Linked DNA regions of Xenopus tropicalis. The protein of the gene in region 1 interacts with the protein of each later gene in a biochemical or structural test. Links are inferred from orthologs where the notes say so. Each region holds a gene or a part of one and is shown in the gene's direction. Other genes may lie near its edges.

Region 1 (4,498 bases):
TTCTAGCTGCCTACATCTGTCCTTTAGACCGATTGGGCAGCTTATCTGCCCATGTAGAGGTACAAACAATGGGCCTGCCTGACCAACATCTGGCTTGAAATCGGGGAGATCTCGATCGGGCAGGTTTGATTAGGCCATTTGGGTCTCAACACTATTTTATTGAGTGATTGTGCATTTGCACCTGCGGTGTATGTTTAATCCTTGACTGACAACTGGCAAATTGTGTTCCAGCTGGAACAGTTTTATTTACATTAGATTATCAGTCAATTTGTGCTTTTGAAGACATGTTCTGTGACATGATCAGTACTATTTAGAAGCTGCAGAGAGTTGGGGGACTAATATTGGTGCAACATTCCATTTTCTAACTGTTCCAGTCTCACCTTGCTCATGTTACCCTGACTGCAAAGGTACACCGGCCAATTTCAGCTGCTGATATCGGTCCTTTAGACCGATAACGGCAGCTAATCTATTGGCCTCCCCAACCGACATCTGGCCTGAAATGGGGCAGATCCCGATCGGGCAGATTTAATTTTTCCCTCTGATCAGGGACCACATTGGCTTGTTGATGTGTTTCCCAGATGTATGCCTATGCCCGCTATTTCATTACGGATCAGGGACCATATGGGCTTGTTGATGTGGTCCTCGAACCGGCGGCGCCTATGCCTGCCCTAGGGCCAAACGAACGAATTAGCCCAATATCGTCCACCCATTATTAGGAGACGATCCGCTCACTTGGCAACCTCAGCAATTAGCCCAATATTGTCCACCTGTTATTGGGAGACAATCTGCTCGCTTGGCGACCTCGCCACCTTAAGGCAGGGCTGCACCATAGGGCTATTCAGTAGGTTTTTCCCCCTAGCCTGTGCAGTCAGGCATATACAGCCTAGGGTGCGTGTGCTAGATTATATTTTCAACCCCTTCTTCAGTGTTTTGTCCTGGTACATCTTAAAGGAACAGTAACACCAAAAAATGAACGTGTATTAAAATAATTAATATATTATATACTATTTCTCTGCACTGGTAAAAGTTGTGTGTTTTCTTCATAAACACTACTGCAGTTTATATAAATACCTTGCTGTGTAGCCATGGGGGCAGCCATTTAAATTGAAAAAAGGAGAAAAGGCACAGGTTACTAAGCAGATAACAGATAAGTAGCAGATTCCACAGTTTATCTGGTATCTTCTTATGTAACCTGTGCCTTTTCTCCTTTTTTCAATTTAAATGGCTGCCCCCATGGCTACACAGCAGCTATTTCTATTAACTATAGTAGACTTTCTGAAGCTAACATGCAACTTTTACCAGTGCAGGGCAAAAGTACATTATATTTTAATTATTTTAAAACATTTTTATTTTTTAGTGTTACTGTTCCTTTAACAGCAGACGCCACCCTCTCTTGTTCCAATAGAAACATTTCTGGGACATTTTGACCATTGCCCTTTTGGGCAATTACTATGTAAGCTACAGGGAGTCAGGCTTAGCTTGCTGGCAAAGTAACTGTCTTTCATAAAAAAATAAGATGACTGCTTTGAGCAGTAAATGGAAACTCTCATTCTGAATGTATGGAGCACTGATACTATATTTTACCATTGACAGTGAAATTTGTTCACAGAGAATATTCATGGTTGTTAGCTAGCTGTGTAATGCTACAGGTATAAATAGAAGAGAATGTTACACAAAGGTATGCATATCTTCTGTCATTTTGCACAGAATAGCTTCTTTGATTTCTTATATTAAATAACATTGCCAATAGGCATAATGCATTTTTATTTTAATAAACAGGCACTCCTATTCAGAACTCTTTGAAGGACTTGTGGTCTCTAATATGTTTCTTAAAACTAAAACCTTTCACCGATAGAGAGTGGTGGCACCGGACAATCCAGCGACCTGTTACCACTGGAGAAGACGGTGGACTTTGGTAGGACAACTAATTTTTGCAATATAATTACCATTAGTTAGTTGGGGAAGGCAAAGTGGTATTATTAAGATGTTTGCCTCCACAGTGTATTAGCCCTTACCCATTTGCAAATATAAAGTCTTATAATATGTATTCAGAGCATTTGTTCCAGTGCATTATTGCACCCATTACTTTGGTAAATAGCAAGAATCTTGACATTCCATGGTTTCTCCGTGCAGGCTCTAAATGTATCAGTATGGTGTTACCCCAGTGCAAAATTAAACTTCTCTTCTTTGATTGCTGGCTCATTTCAGGAGAGGGGAAGCATTATAACACTTGCACCTTTTACCTAGAGGCCATGTTATGTTGCACAACTACTCCCTTGCCAATATTAAAAAGCAAATGGTGCTCTACTCCTAGGAAAGATGGGCCTGATAATTGCAATTCTCTGCATCTGGTGCCTGTTACCATCAGTGATTTTATATGACACTTCTGCCCAACCTCTGACCAAAGTTTATTCTTTTTAAGCCGATTGCAAGCTTTAATTAAAAATATAACTCTGAGGAGAACCAAAACCAGTAAAATCAGAGGTAGGCCTGTACTGGATCTGCCAGAGCGCAAAGTGTTCATCCAGCATGTGGAGCTTTCAGAGGAAGAAAGGCAAATCTATGAGTCTCTGAAGAACGAAGGCAAGGCTGTTATTAGCAGGTAAGACTTCCTATGTTGTGCCTACCATTTTTGTGGGTGGTGGATAGGTTCTTGTCTTTAAACTCAGGATCATATATTGGTATATTGCTTGTTACTCTGCCACACATTTAAAAGATAGGGGTAACTTTTCATATACTTTGTTTATACTAAGTTTTCTAATCGCCCTAAATATTTTGTTTAAAGGAGAACTAAACCCAGTGCACCACACCTTGAAACAATACCTTGTCAGTATGGTCCGCCAAATCCAGGCACCATAAATAGTTAAAAGCTGTTTGTTTTTATTTATTGCTGAAAGCTTCCTTTGCACTGATCTGCGTCTTCTGTCTGGAGACATCACTTCCACCCATGAATGATGGAGAGATTATTGCAGGGGGAAACTTTAGATAGAGCTCAGAAAGGCACCTAGGAAAGCCTGCAAAGTGCAAATGGAGCAAATACACTGCTAAAGTCAATAAATCTTTTGTGTCATATTTTGCTAAAAGGCTTTCTCCAGTGCATTCAGTTCATTTGCCATTAACAGGGCAGTTGGAATATTTTTTCTAAATTAATTTCTAAAGCCTGTAAGTAGAATGACCAAAACAGTTGCCATTTTAAAGTCAGGAAGGAATTGTCCTATGGTTACTATGTATTACACATTTATTGTATTCTTTAGGTATGTCAGTGAAGGAACCATACTCTCACATTATGCAGATGTTTTAGCTGTGCTGGTGAGACTGAGACAGCTTTGCTGCCACCCCTTTCTTGTGTCAAGTGCTTTATCTTCCATTACTACTACTGGTGAGTGTAGCAGAACAGTAAGTTTTGGGTTTTAGGAAGTATTCTGGACTACGAGCATGTTAGGAGCCAAGGTTGTGCAGTTTCTACCTTCCTTACAAACTATGGCTAGTATGGCCCCTTTCCTGCAGCAAATAATGCCAAAGGGACTTGGAATTTCCCGTAAATCTTGCCGGGTGAAGTCTTATTGATATTGGTCAGGACATGGGACATTACAGAAAATTAGGTATGTGCTAAATTGACCTGAACAGCAGTACTTTAGGGATGATTTGTATTCAGTCTAATTCTTAGTACTCAACTGAACAAAATCAAGAATCTGATTGTTTCAAAAATCTGATTGTTGTGCCTTCACATGGAGCCATTGCTTCAGCCTGGTCGCAGGCACAATAAGTAGAATTCAGCGCACAACTGCTTGCGAATGCAGTGTTGTGTTCTTATCTGCAGGCTGAGGATCTACCCCCTGTGTGGCATTAGCTTTAGGGCTCTTAGTCGTCCGCGGCAAATCTCCCTTGTTGCAGGCGTCTAATCTCCCCGTGTACCAGAGCCCTAAATGTCCTATGACTTAAAGCTCTGGACAACTGAACGCAATCATGTATTTACACAGATGATTTGATACTGATAAAATTGGAATTTGCTAATTACTCCGTATTCAGCCTACTCTTATATGCTGGGTACGTGGCCCCAAGTTTTGGTGTTCCACTGCCAATACTATGCCTGAGTGCCCCTAGCCAAAGTGTAACTTATATGTCATCATTAGTTTAACAGAGCTAAAGTACAATGACAGCTTGTAGCAACCTGAAATAGTTACATTATAGGGTTCCAGATGATTCTTATGATTATTCTAAGCATTCTTCTATAAGAATTGCAGTGCAGAGTTACTCCTACAGAATAACTGTGATGTGTTGCTGCATTGCTTTTGCTTTGTACCCAAGGCATCACATTGTCATGTGTTTCCTTGCAAATCCCCAGCTGACTCCACTCCAGGAGATGTGCGTGAGAAGCTCGTTCAGAAGATAAAGCTGGTTTTGAGCTCCGGCTCAGATGAGGAATGCGCCATATGTTTGGATTCTTTAAACATGCCAGTTATTACTTACTGTGCTCATGTATTCTGCAAACCTTGTA
Region 2 (5,109 bases), on another chromosome or scaffold:
GCGCTGCTTTAAAAGCAAGCGCAGCGCTTGTAAACCCGACAGTGCCATTGGACGTAGATTCTACGTCCCATGGCACTTTGGTCCCTTGGTACCTGGGACGTAGAATCTACGTCCCTTGGCACTTAAAGGGTTAAAGTTCACAGTTCTGGAAACATTAAGACTGTTCTGTCTTAAAGTTAATTTTCTAGCTGGTGGCATTAATAGCTGCAGCATGTGGTCCCTGATTTTCAGGGAGCTGGGAATGAATACCCCGGTGAAGATATGGGGTTGGTGGGCTCCAAGGTAGCCAGGGCCGGATTTATCTTCAGGGCGCCCTGAGGCCACCCCCGTTGGTCGCCCCGCCCGCCCCCTGTGCGCATGCGCGAACGCGCGACACACCCCCGTGCGCAGGTGCGAGTGGGCATGCGCAAACCTTTAAAGAGGTCCCGACTGCTCCGTATGGAAGCCAAATGTAAAAATTTTGTTGCCGCCCCTAAACTTCTGCTGCCCTAGACCCGGGCCTTTGTGGCCTTTCCACAAATCCGGGCCTGAAGGTAGCGATGCGGGCCAGCCATTGGTGGAGCATGGGAGGCATGACACCTGAGGGGTTAAAAAGTGTACCAGCAGTGCAGGCTGGTCTTTCTGTTCTGTGCTGGTGAGGGGGTATGGTCCGCATCTGACCCTCCCACCCAAAAAAAAAAACAAATTGTGTTGTCGATTCTTGCATGGAGGAGTCAGTATTTATGTTTATATTTGTTAAAGTGGTCTGCTGTGGGTTATCAGAGGCTGGCAAGTGTTAGATGGTGTCAGTATCTCTTTAATCATACTTTTACTTCCAAGTCACTGCTTGTAAACAAGCTCAACAGAACTTCTTTTAATACAACTTTTTCAGGATAGGAGTAACAGTGAGTGCAACAAACCCACAAAAAATAGAGGTTCACTGAGGCTTCATTTTTGATATATGTGTGGAAAACAGAATCTCTTACCCAGGGTTGGGGCATGGGTGCAGAACATAAAGGGCTAGTTGGCCTTTAAATGAACTTTTAGTATAATGTAAACATTGATGTTCTGAAACAATTTCCATGTGGTGTCCAGTTTGGGATTTCAGCAGCAGTGATATTTACCCCAGGAACCAGCCAGTGGCTTGAATGAGAGACTAAAAGACAAACAGGAGAGGGTCTAAACAGCAAGATAAGTAATAAAAACAAAAACAATAAGATTGTGGCCCCAGAGACTAAAATATGTCTGGCTTCCGAGGTCAGTGGCCCCCATTTGAAAACTGAAAAAATAGGAATGCAAATAATTAAAAACCTATGAAAAATAAATAATGAAGACCAACTGAAACAGTTGCTAGGAATAGGATATTTTATAAGGAACTAAAAGTTAATGTGAATATTTAACAATATTTAGCAGTATAGCCAAACCAGTTTCCAAACACCTTCAATTGCTAAAGGCATAGTGCTGCCACAGGAAAAATGTTGCTTGATGCCAATGTTACAAATCGTGTAAAAACATAAACAATAGTTTGGAGAATGCGGGCATCGATCCCGCTACCTCTCGCATGCTAAGCGAGCGCTCTACCATTTGAGCTAATTCCCCTCCACATGCTCCCTTTCCCTTCTACTTATTAAATGTGTAAAAGCGCGAACCCGGCAGCCAATCAGCGTTTCCCACTTGATCCGAATGAATGGGAGGCAAGATTAGCAGCGGAAGTGACGTGTGGGTTTGCGGCTGGCGCCCGTTCTGCCTCTCTACGCGCTGACGTCTCATGGTGCGTGGGCTCCGGTCCTGGGCGGCGGAGAAGATGGCGGTGTGCGCAGGTCTGTGTATGCTGGGCCGGGGAGCATAAAAGCCGATGTTGGGGTTTGGAGGGGCAGGGATTGAAGTTGTGTGTGAGGCGCACTCTCGCCGTATGGTTTCAGGGATAAGATGACAAAAGAAAACTCTTGCTTTTCGGGGGTTCTCATTGCCTGCCCATCCTTCAGTTTCCCCCCGGTTGAGTGAATAGGAATTTGGCAGTCAGGGGTCTTAACCCTTTACATGGACTGTTGCTCCCAGCATCCCTTCTGGGTATCTGACCCCTTCTCTGTAGGATCTACTTATCCCTTACAATTTGTTCCATTCAATGTGTCACTTTTACTTTCCCTACTTTTTTGATCTATAGCAGAGCCGAAATGATTTCACATGTCTCTAGCAATGTGTCCTTTCTGCCTTCCTGTGTGCTTCTGCAGTCTATCTAGCTGCTCCATCTAGCTGCTCCATCTAACTGCCCACCCTGCCCCCATATTGGGCCACATGCAGTGCCCACCCTGCTGATGATGTGGCCTTTTGCATATTCCCCCCCCCCCCATATGTCAGCAAGTGGTATGGCCTGCATGGCTGCCCCTTACAGATAGCATGATCTGCTTAGTAACCAACTCTGAATGTGGCATGGCTTGTGCTGTCCAACCATAAAACACTGCCATGTCCAGCTTTGTTCTGTCCCCTGCACCATCCAGTTGCCCTTCCTTCGTTTGCTGCACCCCTTCCTGCACATATTTTGCAATGGCCCTAAACATCTTTGCTCTACAGGATCCAGTCCTCCTGTTGCCATGCAGCCTACATATATTTTGTTCTGCATCTCTCTACTATCCCACTTTTGTTCAGCTTTCTGGAACTAATAAGTTGTGTTCTGCTGCTGCTGAATATATATATATGTATTTGCATTTTCTGGGTGTAGTGTGCCCTGAAGCATCTTACACACCTTGATTCTCTGTTACTGAAGTGTTCTTCCCAGCCTAGTATCACATGCCCATCAGAAATCCACTATCCAGCCATCTTACAAACCTGATCTACCTTCTGCCTATAGTGTTTTAATTTTTTCTATGCTCTGCATGTTGTTTGCTAATGAAAAAATCCCAAGCCTTCCTTTTCCATTAAATTTGGCCCTGAAACCTGTCTGTCTCACTCACTCTGCTACAGTTGGCTGACACATTTCCTGGCCTGATAGTCATACATTTTCCAGCTCTGTTGCACCTTTCACTTTCTGTTTTGTTATATAGTACTCTAATCATCTTGTTTTCAAGGAGTAGCTGTCACTTCCCCTACTTTGATAGATTTAAGTTTAGAAATTAATCATAAGATTATTGTACCACTTATTCTCATAATTTGCTATGGAAGTTGTGTTTCTTCTGTAGATACTTGGTCAAGAGAGAAGTGGTGCAGTAGACACCTATGTATTCAGGGCCTCTGCAGGAGGTTGGTCTGAGTTGGGTAGGCCTCTTGAGTGACTGTCTGGTGATCATCCATGGGCATCTCAGGAACTGGCTCATGCCAAGCTGGGGGGTGGACCTGTGGATTACAAGCAGAACAGTTGTTGTTGAACCTATCAATATATTTGCATTTATTGGTTGGAAGTTCCTAAATTTAAATGTGAAATCTGTATTTGAAATACAAATATGTAAAATTTTAAAATATTTTGAGAAGCAGTGTCTTTATGCTTTACCACTTTTCAATACATATTATTGCGTCCTAACAGGTGTTAAGATGCCTCGTAACTTCCGATTACTGGAAGAACTTGAAGAAGGGCAGAAAGGTGTGGGAGATGGCACTGTCAGCTGGGGCCTTGAAGATGATGAAGATATGACACTCACTAGGTGGACAGGAATGATAATTGGACCCCCTAGGGTGCGTTCTGTAAACTGCGTGTCTTGTAGCAGGCAATCTTGTTTGCAACTTTTTCTGGATAAAACAATTCTTTGAACATAACATGTTTGTGTTGGAACCTGTATATGAAAATATATACTAGCTTGATAGTATTGACAAATACCTCTAAGCATCGGTTCCATAGTGCTGGTCACCTATGTCACGTGCCATTTTTACACCGCATTTTTATGCCATGGTTTTAGAAAGTCCCTACATGGCATAAAAAAATGAAATAAGCATTACTATAGAAAACACAGTAATATACTTGTTGTAAAAAACACACATTACATGCTGATATTTGGCAAGAGACACTAGCATGTGTGATTTCACTTTTAGGAGCTGATACGCCAGAACAAATGATAGTCAATGATGTGTCATAAATATGCAGTGTTTTTTAGGATGGTTGCTGAATTTTTGCAAGATTTCCTTCCTAAATCGTATGCCATTTTTACAGTATTTCAGCAATCTCACTATTTAAAACCCTTTGTTCCGGTCCTTGCATTCATTACAGAAGTCTTTGTGCAAGTTATTACTAATATAAACATACAGTGCAGTTTGTCGTTATTACATCATGTTATGTGTGCCAATGTGCATGACAATGTGATTGACGTAGTGTTGGTGGTTTTTAGGAAACGTGAATTAATGCAAAGGTTTGTTGGCGAGTAGAACAAATCATGGATAATTTAGATATATCATCTGGATCAAGTATGTGCATAAAACACTGATATATTTTACAGGTGTTTCTATGCTGCATTACAGTTTCATGTGTGACACAGCATGTTATTATTGTTTAAATATTTGCTTGGTACTGGTTGGAGTACTACAACATGCTCCTGTTTCCATTCAGTATTCAGAAGGATGCAGTCTCATTTTTGAATAGTCAAATACTGTCCCAAATTTACATACCTGTACTTTAATTTGTATTCTGCATGTTAACTTATTAAGTGATATGACATTCTGGCGTCTCCAATGGAACGGAATTTGCATGTTTTTCCTGGGGCTGGTGTTCCTTTTCAGAGAAACCAGAACTGGCCCGTGGAAAAACAAAGTGTTGAACAGGCATTGTTGACCATTACACTTTTGGCTACTCTACTGCTCATGTACAAACAAAAATCTGCACAAGGGTATCTAAAATGCCAGCTTAGATATTCTTTTCCATGGGTTGGTGCAGTTTTTCCAGCAATTTATTTCACTGGGGGTGTCTAAAATATTGGCACCCCCACCCTCCCCAGTGAAAAAGTGAGCTTTACATGTCCTCTAACAGATCAAGCTCTTTTAGCTACATTATGATCAACATTAAACCATATACAGTTATGGGACCTATTATCCAGAATGCGAAAAAATAATTTACATATTGAATAAACCCAATAGGATTGTTTTGCCTTCAATAAGGATTGATTTTATCTTAGTTGGGATCAAGTACAAGGTACTGTTCTATAATTACAG
Region 3 (4,498 bases), on another chromosome or scaffold:
ATGCGAGTTTTTGCGCAATTAACGCACATGAGAAATTTTCATACTTGATACAAATTTTTCCTAAACGTACTTTTAAAAGTCTGAAATTCGGACTTTGATAAATGGGCCCCTTGATGTACCACCAAACAAACCCTCCTGTAAACTGATGGTGTGCATAGAGGCTACCTAATAGCTAATCTTAGCCCTTATTTGACACCCCCATGATCTTTTATGATGCTTGTGTTGTTCCCCAAGTCTTTTTACATTTGACTTTGGCTCACGAGTAAGAAAGGTTGAGGACCCCTGGTTTAGTGCACCCAAGGGCAAACCCACAACTGATGGTGACTTTAAAGCTCTGGCCTGCTGAAAGTGGCAATATCTTACTTAGTTTTATTTGGATTTTTATCCTCTTCGACTGTGCAAATTAGGGTTTGAACTTGATTTAGCGATCAACCAAACATGGGGGAGAATGTGGCATTTAGCCTAGTCTCAATGGATTTGGTGCGATCCCTATTACTAAGCTTATAATACTAGAAACTTGCATCCTTATTGCTAAGCTTATAAATGAAAGGGGTGTTTGATTGTTGACCTTAGACCCTGGCCAGCCTGGGTGCTGTTCTAGTGAGCACCACCATCATCTTTCCCTATACAGGAAATATTTTGCTGCAGCCCTGGGCATGTGCAGTAGGGATAGAGTTCAGCTTCCAGGTTCAAATTCTGATCTGTCACTCTAGCACCAGCATACAGACAAGCCACAAAGGATGCCTGGGGCAGGTGAAATAGTAGCCTGGGCTGGTGTGGTTTATCAGTGCTGAGGAGTGCCATCCCAGGGTCTGAATTATGTCCACAACTGCCATCTGGTGGAAAACAGTGGCATTTGGTCTGCCACTCTCATTACTCCTAGTACAAGTGAATAAAAAAAATAAAAAGCACCCTACTGGACATACATAAAGTGGTGACCAGTGCCAGATTGAGATGGCTGGTTTTTTTCTTTTTTTTCCTCTAGGCATTAGTCAAAAAAGGACTTTTGGCAATTACTGATATCCTTATATTTAGCACTGGAAGGCTTAGAATTTTTTTTACTGTGCTTTTAAATATATATATTAATTTCCTGTTATTTATATAGCACTGACTGATTTCCACAGCACTTTTCAGAGATTATTCATCATTCCTGCCCCAGGGGAGCTTACAATCTAAGGTCCCTAGCTCATTCACACACACTCTGTTTATATTTATGGAGTGTGGGAGGAAACTGGTGTACCTGGAGGAAACCCATGCAGACATGGGGAGAACATACAGACTCCAGGCCAGGATTGAACTCAGGACCCCAACGCTGCAAAGCAGAAGTGCTAGATAAAATGTAATAAAAGTGTGTTTAGTTTGGTTCCTAATGTTTAAATATTGTTGTGGGTTTTAGAGATGATAGTCATAAAAGTACCTTTAATTTTTTTAACATAAGTTTACTACACATGTATTGGCATTTATATATCTATATCTATACATATCCCTAAAGAGGAACACAATTAGTGTTGGAAACGTTGGATTAATAAAGATTTTTTGTTCTTTTTTTAAACTCCCTGTGTGTGCGGAACTCTGTTCTTCATTTATATAATATATGTGTATTATCTCCTCAGTCACTACACATTTTACATTTGTCCTGGTGTTTTCATTGCAGGAAACCCAGCGTTTACTGGCAGAGCCAGTCCCCGGAATTAAGGCTGAGCCAGATGAAAACAATGCTCGCTATTTCCATGTGCTTATCGCTGGTCCACAGGATTCCCCCTTTGAGGGAGGGACATTTAAACTTGAATTATTTCTTCCGGAAGAATACCCAATGGCAGCGCCTAAAGTACGTTTCATGACCAAAATCTATCACCCTAATGTAGACAAGTTGGGAAGAATATGTCTAGATATTTTGAAAGGTAAGTTTTTCCTCTTATTTAAAAGGACGCTATTATTTTTCAGATTCTTTTTTTAAAAATGACTTAGGCATCACTGTATACAGCGTGCCTTTAAGTGCTGACTATTAAATCATTTTAAGAGCCAACAAAAATAAGTTGTGCTACCTTCTGAACTGTTGCATTGTGGAGTTCAGTTATTTTTTTTTTTATACACACTGACATTGTGTAACTATTGCACTAGCATGTTACAGTGTTCTAATGTGTTCCATTCCAGTTGGTAACTGCATACAGGTGTATGCTAATATATGCATCAGAAATGCCAGTGGAGTAAATGCCAATTAGGTTTAATCCATCTTGTTCAGTTATCATTGACAGACATGGCATCTGCCGTATGTGCATAGAGAATACACCACATGGTGTTAGTCTTATTTCTTTAAGTGCCAGTAGCAGTAAGAACTTGTTTAGACTTGTTGCTAGGCAACATGTTGTTTTCCCCTTAGATTACAATGTAACCCAGAAATGTATATCTATTGCATTGGTATTTTAATACTACTTTGTTAAAACCATAAATGGTTAAACATTCCTTGCAAGTTTTTTTTTTTTTATTATTATAAATTAAAGTCATGAATTTATGTTAATTAAGATAAAAAAAAACCTATCTGGGATGTTGCTCAGTATGCCTTTTTCTTGGGATTTTTCCTTTTGTTTGCCGAACACATTGTTTGCTGACACCTGTCAATATAATGGTAATAGACGTGTTTTACTTTGTGTAAAAACTGTGGTTTTGGGCTTTACTATGTTCTTTAAAGGGATACTGCCATGATTTTTTATGGTGTACTTTTTATTTCTAAATTACACTGTTTAAACAGAAAATAATTCACTCTACCATTTAAAAAAATTTTCTTGAACCAACATTTATTTTTTTAGTTGTAATATTGCTGTGTAGGCAGCCATCTCAGTGGCTGAACTTTCAGAAAGAGCCAGCGCTACACATTAGAACTGTTTCCAGGCAACCTATTGTTTCTCCTACTCCCATGTAGTCCCAAGCCAGACTTGGATTTCTTACTATTGAGTGCATACTATTTAATTGCATATTTACTCATAGTAAGGTACCATATAATTTGTACTCATAATAAATAACACATGATCATGTGAACATGAAATGAATGTTTGAATTTAAAGGCAAAGAGTAGGGTCTTATTTTCTCTTTCTTCATGTATAGATAAATGGTCACCAGCTCTGCAAATCCGTACCGTGCTCCTATCAATTCAGGCTTTGTTAAGTGCTCCCAACCCAGATGACCCATTAGCCAATGATGTAGCTGAGCAGTGGAAGACAAATGAAGCCCAAGCCATAGAAACAGGTATTGAAAAGCGAAGATTTTAATTTTTATTTTTTTAATATTATTCTGTATTTTTTACATTCTTGCACAATACTGATTGAAATTACCAAAATACAGCTTTGGGGTGAAAATGAATCCCCTCTGTGCTTTGTCATTTTATGTTTTTTATTTAGCTATAGCTTTGTTGTGACCAGTAGATTGCAACCAAACAGTGTCAGAAAAAACACGAATTTGAGCATTTTCAGTCTCTAATGGTGCAATTGTCTTTAGTGATCTTGTTTTCTCTTAGACAGATTTAAAGAAAACATTCTGGAATGAGATTCTGGAATTTTCTGACCATTTTATAGTGTGTTTGTGTATGTAATATAATACAGTGTGTGCGCTCAGTGTATTGCATTGTATGCATGAACGTGAAGGACTGGTAAAAAGGAGAAATTTGCTGAATATCTCTGCAGGTAAATGCATAACATTGTCTGTATAGGCAGGTACTATGTTGTTCTCATTGTGCTCTCTCTTCCCTTGCAGCCAGAGCATGGACTAGGCTACATGCTATGAATAATATTTAAATTCGGCTTGATCTTCAAGTGCACATCATTTCTCCTGTTCTGCCAAGACCTCTTCCCTTTATTTTTGTTTTGTTTTTGTTTGTGTTTAATGGACACAGTCTTAATAAAATATATGGAATAAAAAGCCCAGACATGGTCATCTTTGGTGATTAAATGCACATTAGCAAATAATATGTCTTGTTCTAATTCACTGTTGTATCGCATGCGCAGAGGCTGTAATCCATCGTGTCAGCATGTTCCACAATGTTCAAAGGGGTGGCAAAAGTTCTTGATGTCCATTATACCCATCATGATTTGAGTATGAGCACTGTGAATGAAGGTAGAGTTAGGTTAGTTGCTGAAACAGTTGGGTTTTTTTTTTTAATTTTTAAGATAAAACAACTATTTGTTTGGCTCTGTTAACTTTAAAACAATGTGTCATTGCCCCTCCCTTTCTTTTTAGATGCACTTTTGTTTTTGCATTGGTCAAATCTGTATTCAAAGTAACATGTACTTGCACCCCATCCTCCCTTCCCCTGTAGGAACGATTTATTAAACAGAGAATTAGAGATGATTCTAAAAATCCATCCATGAAGCAGAGAATGCTTATATCATAACATTTTTTGTTTTATACACTGTATATTTACATTCATCAAATTTCTAAGGAAATGTCAGCATTGTACCAAGTTAATGAAGCCTAACATGTTTGCATTGAATTTACCCTTTTTATT
Region 4 (4,498 bases), on another chromosome or scaffold:
AATGCACCTGTCGGCTTAATACCCTCTTTGGAGGTAGTCCAGATAGATATCTACTCCTTCAGGTTGATAACCTATAGTGGATGAGTCCTCCGGGTGAGTAGGGATCAGGGGTTATCCTAGCCTGTCACTATCTCTACTCCGTGGCCCTACACTGAGGCAACATTGCTGGATAGGAGTAATACTCCTGGATCTAATCACTCCTTTGTTGGGGCTATTAGGCTGCCCTTGCTTGCTAGACGCTATCTATCTCACTTCTCCTAGAGAATGCTATTACAAAACTGCTATGCTTACGTGAACCTCGTTCACGGGGCCCTGTCCCCGACTTCTCCAGATGGTAAAAGGGTCTCTGGACTGAAATGGCTTTACTGGGGCCTGTTGCTGCACCCAGGCTCAGAGGGAGCTGTCCTTCGGTAGCAGGCAGGCAGCCAAAGAGGAAGTCACACCCTCCTGCTGGACACTATCAGTCTGCAGGGGGCGTCTACAACCTGACTAAAAAAATAAGGGATAGCATTAGTGCAAACTAGATACAGGGGACTCTGCCCAGTAACAGTAATAGAAAGAACTAGTAGGGGATTAAAGCCATAGGAGCGCTAAATCTTATGGGTCCCTGCACACCGAATCCCGGATTCGGTTCGGGATTCGGGCCAAATCCAGGCTTTTTTTGAAGGATTCAGTTTCGTCTGAATCCTAATTAGTAAGAATTAGCATATGCTAATTAGTATTTGGAAAGGGTTAAATGGTCATGGTAAAAAAAATTTGCCGCACGTGCAGCGATCCTAATTAGCATATGTTAATTCGAATTTGGTTCAGGATTCAGCAGAATCTGCCAGGGTGGGTTCGGCCAAACCCAAAAAAAGTAGGTTTGGTGCATCCCTACTGAAAGGAAAGGATATGATCTGTAGGGTATCTGTAATTGCAGGGTTTCCTGATATAATAACTGCAGCTCAGTTCTGCATATCACACTTGTATGTCCATCTCTGTCTTGCTGCTACTGCCTTGCATTCTGGGAAATTAACATCAGCAACAGAAATAACACACACTTATACATACATATACAGTAGTGTGGAAATGCTTTGATCTGCACAAATATTTTAATTAATAAAGCTGCGATTCCGTAGAGATTCCGTACAGATTCGGTATAATTAGTAAGTTCTGTGGAGGTCAGATGTTATGGCCGACTGAAATTACATTGATCAGTCTTATCTCATAATTTAATGTCATTAGAAAGAGGACAAATTTAGATCCGATGGAAACGCCAAGTATATGCAAGTGTATTAGTATTCAGTGCCATTTGATGTCTACAGTTAGAGATGAGAAACAGAATCTTCTGTTTTTATTAGAGGTAAGGCTGCTTAATGGTATTTTTTCCAAAACCTTGTTCTGGAAAACTTTGGATTGCATATTCTGCTTTCAAAAATGTTTTCCTGAAAATGGTACTTAACCTTGTACCTCACAACAATATCTGTGCGTGTATGGCTAGCTGAAGCAAAAAGATTAGCTAGAAGATTTTATATAGACATATGGCTTTCTGCACTACTACTCCTTTACTCAATATTATGTAAAGTCATGTGAAATTAGGTCTTCTGCCACATCTTATTTGTTTGTAACACACAACTGTTCCCTCTATTACTTGACCTTGTCCTTTGAGTACCTACCTGGGAGGCCTGGCTGTTTTTATTTGATATTTTGGACTGGCTGTAGTTATCCAGAGGATGGATATGGGTTTAGTCTTGAATCATTTCAGATGGTAAAACAATTCCATAAGACTTACACCACAAAACAGGCTTTGATGTTTCCTGTTCTAAAGCAAAACAGCATATGTTAAAGGAAAACTATACCCCCAGAATAAATACCTAATAAACAGTTTATATTTTGTTAAGTGACCTATTAAAGAATTTTGCTAAACTGGAATATATATATATATATCAGTAAATTTAGCTCTTTTACATCTTTTCCCTTGAGTCGCCATTTAGGGCTGTGGTAGACGGGGAGATTAGTTGCCGTGTGACAAATCTCCCCGAAATGCCATCCCACTGACTAGAATGTAAATCTCCGGTGGGATGGCATATGCGGTGCCGAAATCGCCGAAGTTTCCTCTCAAGGCAACTTCAGCGATTTCGGCAAATCGCCGCGCCGCGTATGCCATCCCACCGGTGAGTTACATTCTAGCCGGTGGGATGGCATTTCGGGGAGATTAGTTTCCTGGGACAAGGGAGATTTGTCGCGGGTGACTAATCTCCCCGTCTGTCAAGGCCCTTAGTGATGGGCTGTGTGCTCCCTCAGAGATCACATGACCAGAAATAATGCAGCTCTGACAGGAAGTAGTGTGGGAGCAAAAGGCAGAACTCTGCCCATTAATTGGCTGATGGGGCCTAGCATGTATGTGTGCCTTGGCTTGTTTGTGTGCACTGTGAATCCTATGATCCCAGGGGGCGGCCTTAAAGTGATACCGACACGAAAAAACAACTTTTTAAATTATGAATCTACATAAAAAGTTGCCTATAGGTCGTGTTGATCATTTTTTGCTGATAGGTTTGCTTTTGTAAGAAATTGTTACTTGAAATCCCAAAACCTGACTGTTTTGCCAGCCTGACTGTCCCTTCTCAGCCAGTCAGTTACAGCTTCTAATGCTAATGGCCACCTGCTGGACAAATATGGCCGCCCCCTCATAGAGGAACATGGGGGATCAGATAGTGAATGTAAAAGCTTGGACAAATACTTTTATGGCAAAATAATAAATAGCATGCAGAGACAATATTATGACAGATGTAAAAAAGGTTTCATTTCTGGTGTCAGTATCTCTTTAATTCTTAAAATGGCAGTTTTCTATTTAGTATTACCCAATAGCACATACTACTAAAAAAGTATATTTTTATGAAAATGGTTTATTTAGATGAAGCAGGTTTTATGCAATATATTTTTTTAGAGACCTACATTGTTTGGGGTATAGTTTTCCTTTAAAGATTTGTCATTGTTATAAACATGCACCCAAATATACTGCATGCTTTATTTCTTTTTCACAAATAGGTTTTCTTATTATTATTGTTCACTATTGCTGGAATTATCCAATTAGAACAGAGGAAATTGACAGATTTACTGTCAGCAAGAGTGTGTTGGTTTCAGTTTAAAAAAAATGTTAGAAATGTATAAAAAAAAAAAATAAAAAAAAAAAAATGTAATATACAGAGAGAGAAAGGGTTCCACACACAGGGACTTAGTGCCAAAAGACAAAAGTTCTATTAAAAAAAGTCCTGTCCCTGAGAAAGGGCACTGTCTTAGCTGGTATAAAGTAAAAGATACTGTTTTGTTTGAATTATATGATTATAATGGAGCCTATAGGAGATGGCCTTCCTTTAATTTAGAACTTTCTGGACAATGGATCCCATACTTTCTGGATAATGGATCCCATATATGTATGTGTGTGTGTGTATATATATATATATATATATATATAATATACACAAAATTAATGACTAATTGTGAACTGTATTAAATATCTACTACAATGTGGGCAGGTCTCCTCTGTTTTAAATAAAATTACAACTCTTTTTTTCTTGTATGTTTTAGGCAGCATCTTTCAAAGGTTGTCTTGGATTCACCTCCCATGTCGCCACAAAGTAACCCCTCCACCAGCAAGATTGCAAAAATGCAGGGATGCACTGGTAAACAAGTAAAGCAAGAGAACATAATAATGAATAGATTTCTGGTAAAAGGCAACTGTTCAACACCCCGAACTCATTCAAACACTTTACAAGATGAAACCTTTTTAAGCCAGGATTCTTCATATACCTCTGCTAATACCTCCAATATTGATTTAGCCGGAGAAGCAGGTTCTGTAATGACAGAGACGTTTGGTACATTTTCACCCTCCACATCTGCTCTAGCTGCACCCTCTTCTGCATCAAAAGTTAGAGGTAAGCCTCTAGTGTCCGAACTATTTGCCATATTTTTTATATTTTTATATATAATGCAACTATATTGGATTTTTATATATAATTAAACTGTATTGGATCTGGAATTAATCTGTTTTTACAAATAGTCTTAATTTTTTTTTTTTTTGCTTACAGTTGTTTATGTATTTAATTATATATTTTATATTTCTTTAGTGTAACATTTCTTTTCTGTCTGCACATAACGCGCTTATGCTGTGAGTTTTTGACACATTTCACCTGCTCTAATTGGCCGATTCCAACGTGAGCCAGTCATTTTCAGTGCACAACTGACACACAACATGGTTAGGTTTTTTAAAGCAGGAAATGACAGACGAGGAGATTAGTCCCTGCAACAAATCTCTTTTACTGGGGAGACTAATCTCACAATGCCTTCCCACTGGCGATAACGTAAATTGTCAGTGGGAAGGCATTGGTAGGAGATTAGTTGCCCGCAATAGAGGAGATTTGTTACAGGCGACTAATTTCCTCTTCTGTCATTTCCCTTATACTGTTCCCTGTAGAAGAAAAGTGATATGTATTGTAATTTGCAGGGATTTAGAAGATAA

Evidence for each region.
Region 2: the proteins of hltf (region 1) and ube2v2 form a complex in vitro, tested with the Homo sapiens proteins (2 studies listed by BioGRID). The link is inferred for Xenopus tropicalis from reciprocal best matches to the Homo sapiens genes HLTF and UBE2V2.
Region 3: the proteins of hltf (region 1) and ube2n form a complex in vitro, tested with the Homo sapiens proteins (2 studies listed by BioGRID, with this or other methods). The link is inferred for Xenopus tropicalis from reciprocal best matches to the Homo sapiens genes HLTF and UBE2N.
Region 4: the proteins of hltf (region 1) and rad18 form a complex in vitro, tested with the Homo sapiens proteins (2 studies listed by BioGRID). The link is inferred for Xenopus tropicalis from reciprocal best matches to the Homo sapiens genes HLTF and RAD18.

The regions. Positions count from the first base shown.
Region 1 is NC_030681.2:122,176,934-122,181,431, reverse strand, and holds part of hltf (helicase-like transcription factor), read left to right. Parts: intron 1-1,779; coding exon 1,780-1,915; intron 1,916-2,422; coding exon 2,423-2,602; intron 2,603-3,254; coding exon 3,255-3,379; intron 3,380-4,345; coding exon 4,346-4,498. UniProt on the Homo sapiens protein: Has both helicase and E3 ubiquitin ligase activities. Possesses intrinsic ATP-dependent nucleosome-remodeling activity; This activity may be required for transcriptional activation or repression of specific target promoters.
Region 2 is NC_030682.2:113,259,709-113,264,817, forward strand, and holds the start of ube2v2 (ubiquitin-conjugating enzyme E2 variant 2), read left to right. Parts: upstream 1-1,775; 5' UTR 1,776-1,783; coding exon 1,784-1,799; intron 1,800-1,867; exon of another isoform or gene 1,868-2,049; intron 2,050-3,496; coding exon 3,497-3,645; intron 3,646-5,109. UniProt on the Homo sapiens protein: Has no ubiquitin ligase activity on its own. The UBE2V2/UBE2N heterodimer catalyzes the synthesis of non-canonical poly-ubiquitin chains that are linked through 'Lys-63'. This type of poly-ubiquitination does not lead to protein degradation by the proteasome.
Region 3 is NC_030679.2:56,088,740-56,093,237, reverse strand, and holds part of ube2n (ubiquitin-conjugating enzyme E2 N), read left to right. Parts: intron 1-1,654; coding exon 1,655-1,901; intron 1,902-3,102; coding exon 3,103-3,243; intron 3,244-3,747; coding exon 3,748-3,788; 3' UTR 3,789-4,498. UniProt on the Homo sapiens protein: The UBE2V1-UBE2N and UBE2V2-UBE2N heterodimers catalyze the synthesis of non-canonical 'Lys-63'-linked polyubiquitin chains. This type of polyubiquitination does not lead to protein degradation by the proteasome.
Region 4 is NC_030680.2:131,520,323-131,524,820, reverse strand, and holds part of rad18 (E3 ubiquitin-protein ligase RAD18), read left to right. Parts: intron 1-3,567; coding exon 3,568-3,914; intron 3,915-4,498. UniProt on the Homo sapiens protein: E3 ubiquitin-protein ligase involved in postreplication repair of UV-damaged DNA. Postreplication repair functions in gap-filling of a daughter strand on replication of damaged DNA.